Caenorhabditis elegans: one gene and its partners. The protein of the gene in region 2 interacts with the protein of the main gene of each other region in a pairwise test. Each region holds a gene or a part of one and is shown on either strand. Other genes may lie near its edges.

Region 1 (3,233 bases), on a different chromosome or scaffold from region 2:
GGTCCGTCGTAAGAACCTCCCAATTGAGTACAACCCATAGGATCTGTGAACTTCCAAAATTTCAATAAATTTTCATTGATAGTTCGTTTTTTGTTTTTTTACTTGAACAGATTTTCAGAGATTTTCAAACGAGATAATATTGTCATGCTCGAAAAAAGAGCTTCCTTTCCACTAGTTTGAGCATTTTCCTCTGGATTAGCTGGCTCGACACTGCAATGTTTCTTCGATCAGTTCTTTTAAAAAAACCGAACTTTAACATTTCTGCAGGTTCTGCCGAAATGATTCCAAAAGAAGCCTGGAATTTTTGGTTTCTGTTTGCATTGCAAAGTGGTTTAAATTTCTGCAGTATCTGCATACTAAAATATTGCCAAAATTCCCAATAACTCTATTAAGTGTCTCTGTAATAATATTCTTTTTTTAGATTGTTGCCGTTTTAAGGAAATAAACTAAATTGCAATTAATTTTCTTGATTCAATTACTTCCCGCACTTCGATGTAGTGTTTTGATGTATTGAATCATGAAATTACTTTATTTTCAACAAAAAAGTTGGTAAAGTGTTCCTAGAATTAAAATGGTGTAACTGGACGAGTCTCAACCCATTTTTTGATATTTGGAATAGAATGAATCTTCTTTTGATGAGCCTTGAGTTCTGGGAATTCGTCTAGAAGTGATTGACTGGCAGCAAACACAGATCCACTGTCACTGAGAAGATCTGATGTATGTTGAGCAATCAACAGATCAACCCAGGTGACAGAGTCACCGATCAAGAATCCAGATCCACTGGCTTTAAGGAAATTGGTGAAGAATTGGTAGTTTTTCTTGAAATTTGGAAGGAATGTGTCCTTGTAAAGAGCATCGGCATCTCCTTGTGCAAATCCCATTTTCACGAGATTATAAGATCGGATGTCATTGAGATAATCTTTGAATTGATCTGCAATTGCATTCACTTGAGCTTCTTCCCATGGACATCTTCCATTTATTCCAAATTGGCGAGCAAGAAAACGAGAAATTGCATGGGATTGTCCAAGTGGTTTCCCATCCTGATAAAGGACAGGAAGAGTTCCGAACGGCATAGCTGGAAATATAGAAAATTCAATACAACATTTTTAGACATAAAAAAATTAAATTAGAAAAACCTGTACACAAATATCCCGCCAGCCTCGCAATTAAAAGTGATCGTATTTGTTATTCTATTACATGGAAGATACTTTAACATATATCTCGATTTTGGAACTATACATATTTCATTTCAAAGAGCACCTTCTAAATAGGTCCCTACAAAAAAGTTAGATTTATACGGGAACTTTGAACCAAAAAAGGTAGTTCTGAGATTGCTTTCAGGTCAGTTTTTGTGAACAAAAATCAATGATTTATAATAAGACCCAGAATATTGGTGTCAGGTCTAATCAAGATTTTATCAAGTGGATCTCGCCACGCCCACAGCGGTTAGAGCGGCACAACATTTTAATCACGAATAAATAGTATTTTGAAAAAAAAAGTTTCAAAAACTCACTCGACTTGAGAGCTGGCCAATCAGCCTGTGGAATCCGGTGATCCTCAAACTTTTGCCCGGCATATGCCAGAATCTGTCGTGGAATTTCTCCAGCAAATCGAATTGGAAAATATGAAAGTTTATAGTGGACCATAGTGTGTTTGGAGTCGAATGATGAAAGACCAATTCAAACATTCTCTTTTATACTGTCTCCTTCATTCAATTTGTTTGTCATTCTCATCGTGTTTTTTTTTCGAAGTAAGGCGGCATTAAAAATGTACGAGAAAGGTTGCCAAAATGATGACAATTGCTTGGAATTGGGAGAAAATCGAGGAAACTAGAGACGCGTCTTGCCACATTTATCATCCTTGCTAATATTAAGGTGTGATTCTGTTGGTCTTACGTGATTTGAGAATGCTCTTTTTTATAGTCAGCATATTTGAGACACTAGTGTAATAATGAAGAATTGAGAACAGTTCATATCTAACAAAATGACTATTACAATGTAAACTTTAATTAATAAAAAAAATTAATTTAAATTTCCGTTCTTCACTAATTACCTGGCAATTTACGAAAAAATACGGTACCCGGTCTCGAAACGACCAACTAGATTTAAAGGAGTACTGTAGATCTCGCAATTGTCTTGGATTTGTTGTTATTTTCATAATTTACATCAAAATTGGAATTCAGAGCTGAAGACATGAAGAGTACGTACAGTTTTGCTTACCGAACAAAAAATATACGATTATTTTTAATACTTTTTGGTCCAATTTACTCGTCTAGTGGCCCTTCCCACAAAGTCGACTCCAACGCTGCGTCTCCGTTCTCTCGCTTGCATCCAATGGAGCGCACTTACATTAAATTTTATTTATTGAATTTTTATCGGTTTTGCCATGTATTTTTTAGTTTTAATTCCTCTAACTTTCTACAATTTAGTAAACTTTTTTGTTTTTAGATGGCTGCAATTATAGGTGGAGGACCACGAAAACCGCCAAGAATCATACGAAAAAATGTAGCGCTTAAACATACGCGGAAAGGTATAAAAATATTGTTTTTAGTCGCAGAAGTCATAATTCAAATCATTATAGATGTTCGAGACGACGAAGGTGAAAAAGTTAAACGAGAAGGATATGAAGTACAATCAGGAGTATTGACTGTAAATGAGGTAGATTTGTTATTTAATTTAAGTATTAAATTATTGTAGGAAAAATTATTAATATTCAGAATCACCCATCCAACTTCAAACCGAAGAAATTGCCAGGAATCGCTAACGATGTCGAATCTTATCCATGCCGATTTTGTGAGGAGAAAATTTTTTTGACTGCATCAGGACTTGAAAAGCATGGAAGAGAGTGTCACCTGCAGAATTTAGACGATATCATGCTAGATATTAATACAATTTGTGGAGAATGGAAGAAAAGAGAGGTATTTTAAATTTAGAAAATTGTAACTTTTTTTAAAACAAAATAAAGATTTCAGTTCGAACGGCTCCGATCTCGCGATCGACTAACAATGGATAAAATGAGACACGAAGCAAGAGCACATCAACTTGTAAAAGCTGTTCTTGCTGGAAGTAAGTAAAATTAGAAAAAAATAAATAAATATATAATAAAATGTACATTTTAAGATCAGCCGACTGTAGGAGGAGAACAATATGAAGCTTGTACAATCTGTAATATGCTCGTCAACATAGCACATCCAACAGCCATGGAATCTCATCAAAGAGCACACAAAAAGAATG
Region 2 (7,324 bases):
CGGTGTTTGGACTTACATTGGTAACGTAGTTCTATTGCAAACATTTGTAGATAGAATTATTACTGTAATTGGAAGTTTGAACTTTTGAATGTTCCTATTACCCTACCAGTTAATATCAGAAAAATTACAAATAACCGAGTTTTGAACATTTTCGTAAGAAGTGAGGGTGTTGGTGGTTGAATTTCGGTCATTTAGTAAAGCTGAAAGAAGAAGAGATGAAACAGGAGTAGTTACAAAATGCATGTTTCGATGTTTCGTAATTGATGTGATCCCTTTCCAATACATCGAATCACAGCATGAGTCCAACATGTATGGGCTGCACATTTTTGTCCCAAAAGAACATCAAGTGTAATTTTGTTTTCAAACATACCTCAAGTCTGCCTACGTACCTTCCCATATTTGCCTACGAGCCTATCTCATGCCTACCTACTTGCCTAAACTTTTGTTAGTGTCAAAAATTACCTTTTGCACCACAGCAACACAGCATGGGTCCGACGATTCAATAGTAAAACCAAGTGTACATTTTTTAAAGTTTTATTTTAACCATCATAATTTTTTTGAAAAGAAAGAACATGAAATGCGAGCAATTTTTGTTTGGAAGCGAAGGAAATGAGAAAAAGAAAGAAAAACATGAATAGAATACGTTAATGGATAGAATCACAGGAAATTGTTTGATGTACTTACAAGGGAAGTCTTTGAGGGGGTCCGTAGATTTGGGGTTCTCATGCTAAAATTCCTACAGAAGAGTGTTAGTTATGATCTCTCCAAAAAATTTAGCTGCCCCGGTCAAGTTTCAGCAAAGTTATGACGTTTTGAAAATTCAGTTAAAAACACCATTGAAATCCACTGTCTTACCATGCAGTCCACGCAAATCTCAGCTTGCGTGACCACCGAAAATGTGACACCCACAACATTGAGTTGAAAAATGTCCTCGGTGGCCGAGTTGGGAGTGCGCGCGTCTGATAAGATTTAAGCTTTGGTTCGATTCCTTCTATTTTTGTAAGTTGAATAAAGTTGTAAAACAACTCATTCAAACATTTTTGCGCATTTTTAAAGTGATTTTATTCTTATTCGGGAACCTAGAATCATTGTCCGCACTTTTTGGAAATTTTTATTTTTTTCATTTTTGCTCAAAATTTCTTGATCAACTCCAAGCAAAAAAATCAAAAAATTTCATTTTTCTAAACAATTATGAAATTGCTATGTTGTTGTTCAGAAATGTATGAAACGTACATTACACAAGTTTTAACTCTCTATTCGCAAGTAAACCGTCGAAATGATCTACATCTCACGAACTTTGTGCAAAATATTTAACCAACTTTGAAGTTGCATAACTTCATTGAGATAAATTATTGTGAAAAATGATCAACTAACAAAATGTTTGTTGAATAACAGTGAACAAAGTTTTAGTTATAAACTTTTTGATACCTCCAGCTACAAAGAAGAAAACAAGGTTGGCATTTGGCTAGTTTTTCTATTAACATTGTGTTTTGGAAAACGGTCACAACTTTTTGGTGGCTGAAGGTATCAAAAAGTTTATAACTAAAACTTTGTTCACTGTTATTCAACAAACATTTTGTTAGTTGATCATTTTTCACAATAATTTATCTCAACGAAGTTATGCAACTTCAAAGTTGGTTAAATATTTTGCACAAAGTTCGTGAGATGTAGATCATTTCGACGGTTTACTTGCGAATAGAGAGTTAAAACTTGTGTAATGTACGTTTCATACATTTCTGAACAACAACATAGCAATTTCATAATTGTTTAGAAAAATGAAATTTTTTGATTTTTTTGCTTGGAGTTGATCAAGAAATTTTGAGCAAAAATGAAAAAAATAAAAATTTCCAAAAAGTGCGGACAATGATTCTAGGTTCCCGAATAAGAATAAAATCACTTTAAAAAGGCGCAAAAATGTTTGAATAGGTTGTTTAAAACTTTATTCAACTTACAAAAATATTTCAAAAATAGAAGGAATCGAACCAAAGCCTAAATCTTATCAGACGCGCGCACTCCCAACTCGGCCACCGAGGACATTTTTCAACTCAATGTGGTGGGTGTCACATTTTCGGTGGTCACGCAAGCTGAGATTTGCGTGGATTGCATGGTAAGACAGTGGATTTCAATGGTGTTTTTAACTGAAATTTCAAAACGTCATAACTTTGCTGAAACTTGACCGGGGCAGCTAAATTTTTTGGAGAGATCATAACTAACACTCTTCTGTAGGAATTTTAGCATGAGAACCCCAAATCTACGGACCTCCTCAAAGACTTCCCTTGTTAGGATTTGATACAAATGGGGTCGAATAAAACAGTTTTAATTACAAAAATGTGAAATACAAGTAGGGTGATCTCTACTACAAAACGAAGCGAGTTTCTTGTTACCAGTCAGCAAAATCGTCCATTTTCTTTTCTACAGATGCCAATTTCATTGCTCCGGCAGATTTTTTGCGATCCATTTGTTCTTTGCGACGAGCTTCATTTCTAGCCTGCATCTCGGCTCGACGAGCATCTGGAAAATGAAAAATGCAAGCGGATTGTTATTCTCCAACAACGGTGACCGTACCTTTATCATCCTTCATTTTCGTTGGTTGGAGTACTGCAGTTGGCTGAAGCACATTGCTTGACATACTGTTATCACCCCATCCATCATCGTCCCATCCTTTGTTAGCTGATGAATTATTAGTTGTTGGTAAAGGATCATCGAATCCCCATCCTGAAAATATACATGTTTTCAGATAACATTAAAAAAAGATCAAACAAGTTTCATAACTAAATTCTACGTGAGAAAATAAAACATATGCTAAGGAAATAATATTTACCAGTATTTGTAGAAGAGGAAGAATTGTTCATGAGAGCATTCAGCGAATTCGGCTTGACTGAAGATCCCGCAGCTGGAGGTGCTGATATTCCGAGAAGTGCATCAATATTGTCATCAATAGCTTTTTTGGTTTGTTTCTGAGCAGATGATCCTGCCAGATTCGATCCTAAGTTTAATCGTCCAATTGTTGGCTTCTTCGCGGCTGCAGACGAACTAGATGATGACTTTTTGACTCCAGGAATGGGAGATGATGTGGCAGTTGCTATCTGAAATAAGACAATATGGTTTAAGTAAATAAAACCTTAATTCTTACTGGAGTATCCCAACCAACTCCCCAGTCATCAGCATCATTAGACTTCGTGTTGATATCAGCCCAATCATCAATAGCAGAATCATTTGAATCCTTCACTGCGAACATATCTCCTCCATCTGTTAAATCTCCCCAACCATCATTTGTTGCAGGTTTAGCAGGGGTTGGTTTGAGAACTGTGCTTGATTTTTCTGAAAATAAAAATATTAACAACTTATTGAAAAAATTGCAGAACAAACCTTTCTCCGCCGTTGGGTTAGGTGTTACTGGTCTTGAGGAAGTATCAGCAGTAGCTGGCGCTCCTGGTTTGACTTCTGCTGGAGGTGGTCCCTTATAAAACTTTCCAGATAATGACTTGAGAGCCCAACTTGCCCATTGTGGAACTTTCTCGTGGTCCAGAATAGAACTTGCTCCGGCTTTAACTCCAGCTTCGAGTTCAGGAATGCAAGCTGGATTTTCAGATGCTTTTTCAAGTTTTTCAAGGAATCCACGAATAGCCTTGAATGCTTGATCTCTAACTTGTTTTTCAGGATCACAAGTCAACGGAATGAGACTCGGAACAATTCGGTTGGAAATTTCAACGAGTGGATAGAACTGTTGAGTTGCAGAAAGCGCTAGAACTGAAGCCATTCTTGATGGTGCAAACGGATCCTTCAGAGCTCTAGTAAATGCGCTTATTAATATTCCTTGTCGTTTAGCAGGTGCAATCAGGTGTCCGATCTTCCCGAGGCAAATGGTAGTGTTGGTTCGAATACCTCCATGCTCATCTCCTCCTTGTAAACGGGCAAGATACTTCATCAATTCGACATTTAAATTATTGTAGTTGAGTTTCTCTGCCAATGAAACCATTGCTTTGACTGTACTTTCGCGAACTGCTGGATTTGTGTCCAAGAAACCAGATGTTAAATTTCTGAAATTAAACATTTAAATAAGAATTTCAGATTTCAGAGAAAAAATCTAACCCAAATATTTTGTCGTTCAAAATTTGTGGAGTCAAATGAGGTGCAAATTCATCGATTCTTTCTAACAACTTGACTCTTGTAGTTCTATCTGGACTGCCAAAAAGTTTGCACAAACATGGAACAATTGTTCTCTGATATTCTGCTTCATCAAGAAGACGTCCAAGTTTGAACAGAGGAATTAAAATATTCGGTCCTGCATCTCCATATTCATAGGTAAGAATAAGTTTTGGAAGAATTTTATATTTTGCTACGTCTTCTGGGAAGATATCAATATTTTCTCGAAGATGCATGAAGAACGATTGTTTTTCGCTAGCTTCCTTCAGTTCGAATTCTTCCAGGAAAAGTAGAGTATCCACGAATTTATTCTTCAAGTATCCCCCAGTGAGTCGATATTCTGAAATCTTTGAAACTGAATAAAAACAACAAAATTAATTTTGGATTATCTTTAATAATATCACAAACTGCAAGTCGTGCAGCTGATTGTGCTCCAATTTTTTTGTATAATTCGTGTATCCGTTGTGGTATCTTCCCTGGAGCCTGTGGTCTTGTGATAGCGTCATTGAATCCATTGAAAACTTCCCATAAAACAATTGCTAATTGATTTAAATCTGTCTGTGGACTAGTGAATCCAGTGACCAAATGAAGTCCACCAATTTTCCAATCTCCTCCGGCTGTTACAAATACTCCTTTACGCAGATTTTCGTGACTTAGTTTAGCTTCGTGCATAAATTTTAGAGCGTTCTGAACAAAAATAGATTATTTGTAAGTTTACAACTATTAAAAAACATACTAATAACTGAAACATTCCCCAGGAAACAACAAATTCTTTTTGGCTTTCAGTGAGACCGGCTTCCTTTAAATACAGCTCCAGTGGTTTACATTTTTCCGTGACGAGGTAGAAAGTTCCTTCTAGCTGAAAAATCCGTTCGTGTGAAGTCATCAAATTGCGAAAACCCACTTCAATACTATCTAAATAAGTGATAATGTTAGGATGGCGCATGGTTTTCAGCTTTTGTGCTTGTTGTTTTAACGTTGAACTTCGGTTGTCCCAGAAGATTGTTGCGAGTTCACCGGGTTCAGCCTACAATATTTATTGAAAATATTCATTGAACAGCTAAAAATGCAAAAACTCACTTTCTTAAAGCTATTTCCGATCGAAACTCGATCGAAAAAGTGTTCTTCTGCTCCAGGAATGTCATATGGGAATTGGGACTTCGGATCCCGTTGGAAGAAGGATGACAACACCGATGCCATCCCTAAAAGTGATCGAAATTTATAAAATAATCTCTCCGTAAAATTGAAACGCTGGAAAACCGGTCGGGTTACGTGGAAATCGAATTTGAACACATTTAATAGAAAAAGGGGCAAGATTGTCACTACTGACGCATCGATTGCAGTTTCTCTGCGTCTCGTCTCTCTTTCACTCACTTTAAAAGATGAGAATAGACTCATTCTCGTTTATTTTGGCTTTGTTTTTCCTAGTTTCTCTGGTTTCTCAATGAATTTATATAAATCTTACCGAAAATAGTGAAATGCGATAGAACTGAAACATAATAATGTTTTATCAAATTACTAGAGCTTCAGTTTACATTTAGTTTTTCAGAATGTCTAGAAATGATCTGGTATTTAATGAAAAACATTGAAAGAGACAAAGAAAAATATATTCGAAAATGATTCAAAAGAATTTTAAAAACCAGTGACTGTACTTCTCGTGCCGATGCCCATCACTTTGGTCGCATCTGCGCCTTTAAAATCTACAGTACCCTTGCTCAAAATTCTTCGATAATTTTTTTAGCTCTCACTATTTAGTCAGCACTTTTCCTTTTTTTCCATATCTTTTAATGATTTTTCTCCTCGTATATATTAAATTCCTTCTATTTTTGATCGTTTGATCACAATAATGCTTCTGGAATGTCAGTCACAAAATAGTACACCTTCGAAAACGCGATAAAGGTGGGAAATTCCGTGATGACAACATTTTTTGGCTCGCAAATCAAGTTCTGCACAGCCCCGCGTGTAAGTGTGAATATTTGTGTGTATGTCTTACACCTGATAACACATTTCTCTGAAAACTGACGACCTAATCGCCTCCGGCCTGAACCAACATGCCCTATGGTGTCGAATGATGCAAAGCGCTCGAAAATTTATAGTTTCGAACTTTCATATTCCCATTTCTAATTCAAAAAATTTGCGGAATTTTTTCCCATACTCATTTTATAGAAAAAGACCAGAACGTCAACCAGTCTTCCGCTAAAATGTGTATAAACGGGTCAGTGTTTATCAATAGACAGCCCGAAAACTCACTCGACCAATACTGCTTTTTTCGAGATTTCTAAGCGGAAAATGGAAATCGATTTGTTGTCATGTGATGTTTGCTGCGAAACGTTCGCGAAAATTAATTGTTTCCGTTTCTATCAAAAGAACAAAATTCAATGTATCCGTTTCTATAATTACAAAAGAACGCATTGTTACAGAATAGGTTTTTTTGTCAATTTTGTATGCTTTGCAATCTTTTTGCGCTCAAATTTCTGATCATTTTACTGTGAGACCATTCTCTGATTCTTCCGCAAAATAAAAATTTCGACATCGACCTCGACGTTTATTTAAATAAGTTCTAATATCATTATTTTCATGACGTGTGCTCAGGTTTTCCTTGAAATCTAATTATAAGTCACATATTTCTCTAATTTCCTCTGGAAAAGTCTCGAAATTTGGCGCCATCAGGAAACCTACGTCAATTTCATTTTCTCCGAATCTCCGCCCACTTTCTATCATTTATAGCGACTAGTCGCTCCAAAAGTTTCAGTGTCTGCCGGTGATTTCAGTGCTCTCCCATGCTTGTACAAACACGCAATAAATTATAAATCAAATTAGCAGACAGCCGACTTGACGGCGTTTATCAGCCTGTCAGTCAGCCAGCTGAGAGAGTAGATGACATCGCAGATGTGTCCCTCCTTTTCCTTGTTTCAACATATGCTACTGATAAGCGTTAATTAAAGACGCACATCGTTTTTCATTTAATGATTTTTATTCCAGAATTGCGTGCACATGACTGAATTGAACTCTTTTCGTTCAATGAGCGCAGTATTTTCTATTTATGGCTTTATCGAAAAGAACTAGCCTGCCATCTCTTTTGCTCCTACAAACTTCATAACCACTTCTCTTCAAACCTTGAAACTCAATTTCTTATATATCCTCCTTCTTCCCGCCTTCATATTTCTCATTTTATTTA
Region 3 (6,227 bases), 2.5 Mb from region 2:
TGCTGACAAAAACACGAGTTCAAGGGGATAGGAAAATTCGGAGGCAAAACACATTACAAGGGAATTGGGCTCAGGAAAATAGTAAATTAATTCTAAGCAAAGTTCAGGTCAAACCTACATGTATGCATCACAATTAAGAAAAGCGTTACGTGAGATTTGGGGTCTGATAAAACTACAAAATAAGCAAGGCAATGAAACGGAGTACAGATTGAACGAGAAACAGGCACCATGTAAAGCGAAATCAGAAAATTGAATGAAAGAAGACGTGTATAATGCACGATATTGAAATTTCAGTTTAGAAAAACGAAAGGTGCTTCACGTTATAATTATGAGCTTCAATTTAAAATAAAATGGTTTCTTTTTTAATTCACGTTCTAGTGCTTCAATAAGGGCGCCTACATGCCTGCCTGCTTCCAAGGAAAATTCGCCTAGCGCATGCCAACTGCCAGACCACACATGAATTTTCACTTCAGGATGAGTTGGAGCTACGAAAAAAAACTCAAAAACTTTGATCGAACAGTTTTTTTTTATTTCTCGATATTCAAAAACCCCAAGCTTACACACTCCACTTTTAATATTATAAAAACGGCAGAAAATGATACGTGAACAGGAATAACGGGAATATCTAGAAAACGATAGTACATAAATTAAATGAAACAAAGTGCAAATCTATTGCATCTCCTGATTTACTGAAGATGAAGAAGGCAAAGCCTGTCCTTTGAGCACAAGAGCAATATCACGACGGAATCGAGTGAGGTTTTGTGTGAATGTGTCCTTATTTTTAACTGTCAAATTCATCTCCACGTTAGACATCAGTTGAGTGAAAAGCATATCAAAATCTGCTTGACGATCGTATGTTTGTTGGGATGTCAACTCGCGCTTCATATCAGAGTATACGTCTTCCTGGATAAGAATCAATCCGAGAAGTGGACGGGAAAGACTCCATTGACATTTCACTTCTCCAAACATCATCAACGTTATCACAGCTTGAAGCATCTGGAAAAAAAAAGACTGTAAATCAATTTATGATAAAGTTATTTTACCTTTGCGAGAATGTCAGGATGTTGCTTGATTGCAATAAGAATATTGTCACCTTCTGGATCCATGCCGACTTTATTCGTTGGTGGCGTCGATCTTGTCAGCCGACGGTACAAATAGTTGAGAATCGTATCCAGTGATGAACAAGCTGATGTTATCACGATTGCATCCACAGAACTAAGTCCCGAGTGAATTGATCGAAGAAGTGCACAAAACACGTCAACCGAGAGATTCGTCACAAACGGCATATTATCTTGAACAACGTGCTCCAAAAGATTATAATGATTTTGTGCTATCTTTGTATAGCTCTGAAAGAACGCATTATTTAATTTTAGCATAGGTCGTAATATGAACTGACGTGGAAATCATCTTGGGGAATACTTGTGAACAACTTCACAAACGTCGTAAGCGCATCCTGAAGACAGGAATCACCATAGAGTCGGAATACTCCAAAAGGTACATAAGCTCCAATAAGCGCATTCTTGAGAATCAAAAAAATCACTCCAATATTCTTGTATCTTTCCTTGTATACTCTGTCTTTCGATACTTCTGGCAGTTGAAGAAGCCTTTCTCCGTAAATCGAAACAATTTTTGAAGTTTCTTTGAAAAGAAGTACAGCTGAGCACGAACTCATTTCGAATTTCAATCGTTGCTGTCGATTTTGAACCATTTCGGAGAGAAGTCGAAGAATTGGAGTAACGACATCAGCACATCCAGGCCATTTTTCTACCGAGAACTGCATAATATTGAACACTTCTGGGTACCTGGAAAGAAAAATAATTGAAAAATAATAAATATTTATAGGAAAAACATACATCCATTCGAATAGAATTTGGAAGATAGTTTTCGTTGTTGATGCTATTGCCACTCCTCGAAGATCTCGACACAGTCCAGTAATAATTTTCTGTAAAAAGTTTGTTTTAGTTTTGAAAACGTTCATTTTTATAACCTTTAATTGTTCTTCTTCAACTCCTTGGCAATTATTCTGGATCACAGTGCAAATTCCTTCAACTGTATCTGAAAAAAGTACATTTGAAAATCAATTGGAATTGAATCTACCTGTAAGAGGACGAAGGAATCTTTGAAGCATTTCCTCGTCGTCCGAATAATCCGTTGTTAAAAGACGCGTTAGTGCTTCGTAAAACGTCGTTCGCTGTTTCATTGTTTGATAATCAATATTTGGACCAAGAAACATGAAATGATCGGCAGTGTGATTGTTCAATAGAAGCTGAACTTCTGGTAAACGGAATAACTTTCGAACTGCAGAATATCCAAGCGATAAATCCTTGAACAAAGATAGGGAAAGATCCAAGAGATCAGAGTTGGACGGCCAGAATTTCAGATTTGTGAGAATCTTTTGTACAATAACACCTAGCATGTCAGACTCTTCCGTAATACGCAGTTCTGCTTCAAGTGTGTCGTAGACTGCACTGGCTCGAGTGATTTGATCCATGATATACGCACGACGGAATTGCTCAAGCATGTGAATAAATGAAACTTCCAGTCGAAGATTTCCTTTCAGTGGAACTGTATTATTTGACAACTGAAGCCGATTATCATTGAATCTCATAACTGTTATACATCGGGCAATGAGTTCTCCGTCCATTTTATCGTGAACATCACTGCTTGTTGCTGTCGTCTTTCCGAACACAGCAGTTCCGATCAATGTAATCAACCAAACGAGACGACCTTCGGCAATCGCTGTATTGGCATCCTGTAAATACAAATTATAAGTTTCAAAAAAAAACAACTAAGTGTCTTACATTTTCAGATCCATTCATCCAGATGTTGGCATTTTGATCAAAGTGTTGAGTGAGAAGTTTACATGTGTTTTCATATTCGCATCTACATATAATCGCAAGATGTTCCATAACTTGAAGGGTTGCTCCTTGATCATCTAATGGATTCTCAGCTCCTTCTCTGACAATGCTCTCAACGTGTTGTAATCGACTCTCGACGAATGCTGTCATGATTTCTGGACAATAAACGTTGAGAAGATGCTCATCATTATTTCGAACATATGGAACAGACGTCACCATTCTCTGCCAGAATGTCATAAGAAAATATGTACTGTTGGCTGAGAACTCCATCATTCGTAGGCTTTGTACAGTGAATTCCGCGAGTAACCTTAGCATGTGACTGTAGCAGGGAACAGCGATGAGCTCGCACAGCTGATAATTTGTTTTCAGACGAGCAATCAAACGGCAAAACTCGTGGAATGCGGCCTAAATCAGGTATATAAATATGTTTGCCTTTAATTTTTCATTATTCTTACCTGGTCACTAAGCTTCCCAGGGTTCATAATTACACTGACAACTCCTTCAACAAGTTTTTGAACGTAAGCCTGTCGCTCTGTTCCATTGAAAAGCGTTCTTCGAATACTTGCCAATTGAGCTATTATTGTCATCACTTTTTCACTTGATTCTTGTGGAAGCACATTTAAAAGTTTGAACATAAGCTGTACAATTTTTCCATCAGTAAAACTTGCTCTCCATGCTGTTGGGATTTGCACATTACAGTTGTCTTCACTTGTTTCGTCTGTCAAACTTCCTATATAATCAAAAAGTAGACATTGGAGATTCAAGTTGAGAACCGCGTGAAGAAGACCCAATTGGCGATCGTTCAGATTTCTGTCCACATTATCGTTCAAAACATTCAGAGATACCGAGAAAATCTCATATAAAAAATCGTCCCTGAACTGCGAAAGATTCTTGCGATGTTTGTTAACTGAATCCATTCCCGAAGCTGAATTCATGTCAGCAACGAGTAAGGTTAACAGTTGCACGGCCAGCATACTTTCCTCGATATTATCCATGTTGATTGTTTTGACAAGGCTATCAACCGGATCACGAAATGGATATTCAATTTTTGTGTCTTCTGTTTGATTTTCTGTGGGATTTTGATACGTCCATTCTTGTTTCGTGAGTCTTGCAAAAAGTTGGCAAAGTGATGTGACGAGATATGGAGGAAATTGAGGTGCACCTTGACCTAGCATTTCCAATAAATATTTTGCAAGCTCGAGCTTCTGAACAGAAGTGATGCTAGTTTTTCCGCCGAGAAGTTTCATTAGTGTGGTGCTTGCTACCATTGGTCCGTATGGGTACTGAAAATCATTATGTAAATTGTTTAACACTTTTATTATTTCGACTTACATCTCCTCGTGCAAAGAGAAGCATGCATCTTTGAAGGCATTCGGGTGACTCTGACAGTTCCGCAAGGTTACTCTCGGCTCGGTGTCGGGCTTGCGGATCGACACTCTCATATAGATCTTTGCATAGACTGTTTAGTACCTAAAATAAGATTAGAATGCACATTAAGAATTTTGAAAATGCTAACCGGTAATTCATCCATTTTTGAAGACTTCGAATCCGCTGTTCAGCGATTCACTCCTAAAATATCCAATTCAGAAGTAATTATAGCTTGAGAAAGAGGAGAAAAATGTTTTGAAAAGCAAAAAGAATGTTTAAAACGGATAAAATTAATTCGGCGTCTTCCCACCGTTAATTGTTTCGAAAAACTGCAAACTTTGGTGATGATTTGAGTTTCTGAAAGACGAAACATCTTGTCCTGGTGAAGTACACGGCGGATGGCCGATAAAAAAGTTAGGCCATCCTTTCTCATCCTACTCTACATCCCACAGGCTCTCTCGCCACAATTGGCATCTTTTGGCAGTTTCCACTATTTTCAGAATTCGTTATCTGTTTTCTGATAACAAAAACAAGAAAAACAGAATCTTTACGACTACTTCTTTATTTATCCGCTCTAACCACTCATTCTACGCAGATTTTGAATGGCAGAGCGGTGAGTTTTGAAATTTAATCTGTAGTACAACATGCAGTTGGAAATGCCAAAAATATCAATAATTTCAGAGATAAAGATGAAATCTTTAGTTTAAAAAGTTATCAACGTCCAATTGTCTATCATTCTGAATATAATGTAACTGCATTTGGAATCGAACATTTACATCCATTTGATTCTTCGAAATGGAGAAGAGTCATTACACATTTGAAAGAAATGAATCTGATCACTGATGAAACACTCGTTGAGCCAAATCTACCGACATTTGAAGAACTCACTAGAGTACATGATAGAAAGTAGGCACATGAAAGTGTTGTGAATGTGATTGAATCGTGGAATTGGTTTATGAAAAAATCATGTTTGTATGGCCCCATACTTAAATTGAAAGAAAATAATTAAGCTCATAACGTTTATAGTTGACATTCTAAAAAAAAGTTAGATGAGGCGTTCAACAATTTCAACTAATAAAAAAAATTTATTCATATTATTTTAGATATCTGAAAAGTGTTCGAAATCCTATTAAAGCAGCACAAATCGTCGAGATTCCATTTGTCGGTTGCCTTCCACCGTGCATTATTGAAAGCAAGTTATTGCATCCACTACGGTATCATTCCTAGTAATTGTTGTATTCATTTATTTGTGTTTTCCAGTTTACAAGCCGGTGGAACAGTTTTAGCTGCCAATTTGGCTCTAAAACATGGTTGGGCGATCAACGTGGGTGGTGGTTTCCATCATGCTTCTCGTATGTTTTTGTTATTCCGCAAGAAAAATAGACGCTATGGGATTGTACAGCAGCCTATAATTTCAGATTCGGGCGGAGGTGGATTCTGTTTTTACGCTGATATCACCATGGCAATTTTCGATTTGTTTGACAAAAAGGCAATTGCCAACGCGATTGTTGTAGATTTAGATGCTCATCAGGTACTGGAAAAAACATTTGAAAGAATATAAAATACCGTATATTTTCTATTGATGCGTGCGGCACCTTCACTGCTCAACTTTGACAGCATATAACTCAAAGGAACACGTGTAGTCAGAAAATCCCATTCCGCTTTGATCTTCGAAAAATGCGGGAGTTGAGACGCAGACATCTCATTTGATTTGGAATGGTTAAGAACGTGCTGACGTCACAATTTTTCTGGGAAAAAGTCCCGCATGTTTTGTAGATCAAACCGCAATGAGACAGTCTGACATCACATGAAGGAAGTATTTTGCCTAAAATCATAGATGGCCGATATCTGAGCTTTCAAAGTTAGAATTGTCCTCAAATTTTAGCTACCTTACAGTTACGTTAAGAATTCTATAGACTACGGTATCATTTTGGAAAACCATTTGGAACGTGAATGAAATATGTCTAGCCCGTAAAGATATTTCTCAAATATTAGATATTA

What was found. The genes of interacting proteins can lie anywhere in the genome.
Region 1: the proteins of scyl-1 (region 2) and gst-30 interact in a two-hybrid assay, tested with the Caenorhabditis elegans proteins (one large-scale study listed by BioGRID).
Region 3: the proteins of scyl-1 (region 2) and xpo-7 interact in a two-hybrid assay, tested with the Caenorhabditis elegans proteins (one large-scale study listed by BioGRID).

What each region holds. Positions count from the first base shown.
Region 1 is NC_003280.10:4,933,371-4,936,603, forward strand, and holds gst-30 (glutathione transferase), read right to left. Parts: upstream 1,685-3,233; 5' UTR 1,647-1,684; coding exon 1,514-1,646; intron 1,076-1,513; coding exon 567-1,075; 3' UTR 513-566; downstream 1-512. Other genes in the region: msp-152 (Major sperm protein 152), read left to right, coding at 1-40; ZK546.5 (C2H2-type domain-containing protein), read left to right, coding at 2,448-2,529, 2,581-2,657, 2,717-2,917, 2,972-3,065, 3,120-3,233.
Region 2 is NC_003283.11:13,036,376-13,043,699, forward strand, and holds scyl-1 (Protein kinase domain-containing protein), read right to left. Parts: upstream 5,347-7,324; coding exon 5,227-5,346; intron 5,174-5,226; coding exon 5,051-5,173; intron 5,006-5,050; coding exon 4,883-5,005; intron 4,834-4,882; coding exon 4,536-4,833; intron 4,487-4,535; coding exon 4,093-4,486; intron 4,041-4,092; coding exon 3,370-4,040; intron 3,322-3,369; coding exon 3,134-3,321; intron 3,087-3,133; coding exon 2,822-3,086; intron 2,716-2,821; coding exon 2,566-2,715; intron 2,512-2,565; coding exon 2,381-2,511; 3' UTR 519-2,380; downstream 1-518. Other genes in the region: W07G4.2 (L-Fucosyltransferase), read right to left, coding at 17-62, 107-191.
Region 3 is NC_003283.11:10,521,482-10,527,708, forward strand, and holds xpo-7 (Exportin-7), read right to left. Parts: upstream 4,428-6,227; 5' UTR 4,390-4,427; coding exon 4,375-4,389; intron 4,329-4,374; coding exon 4,191-4,328; intron 4,142-4,190; coding exon 3,314-4,141; intron 3,264-3,313; coding exon 2,802-3,263; intron 2,753-2,801; coding exon 2,098-2,752; intron 2,056-2,097; coding exon 1,988-2,055; intron 1,943-1,987; coding exon 1,854-1,942; intron 1,803-1,853; coding exon 1,397-1,802; intron 1,347-1,396; coding exon 1,044-1,346; intron 997-1,043; coding exon 670-996; 3' UTR 513-669; downstream 1-512. Other genes in the region: hda-11 (Histone deacetylase 11), read left to right, coding at 4,829-4,839, 4,908-5,132, 5,330-5,440, 5,487-5,578, 5,645-5,757.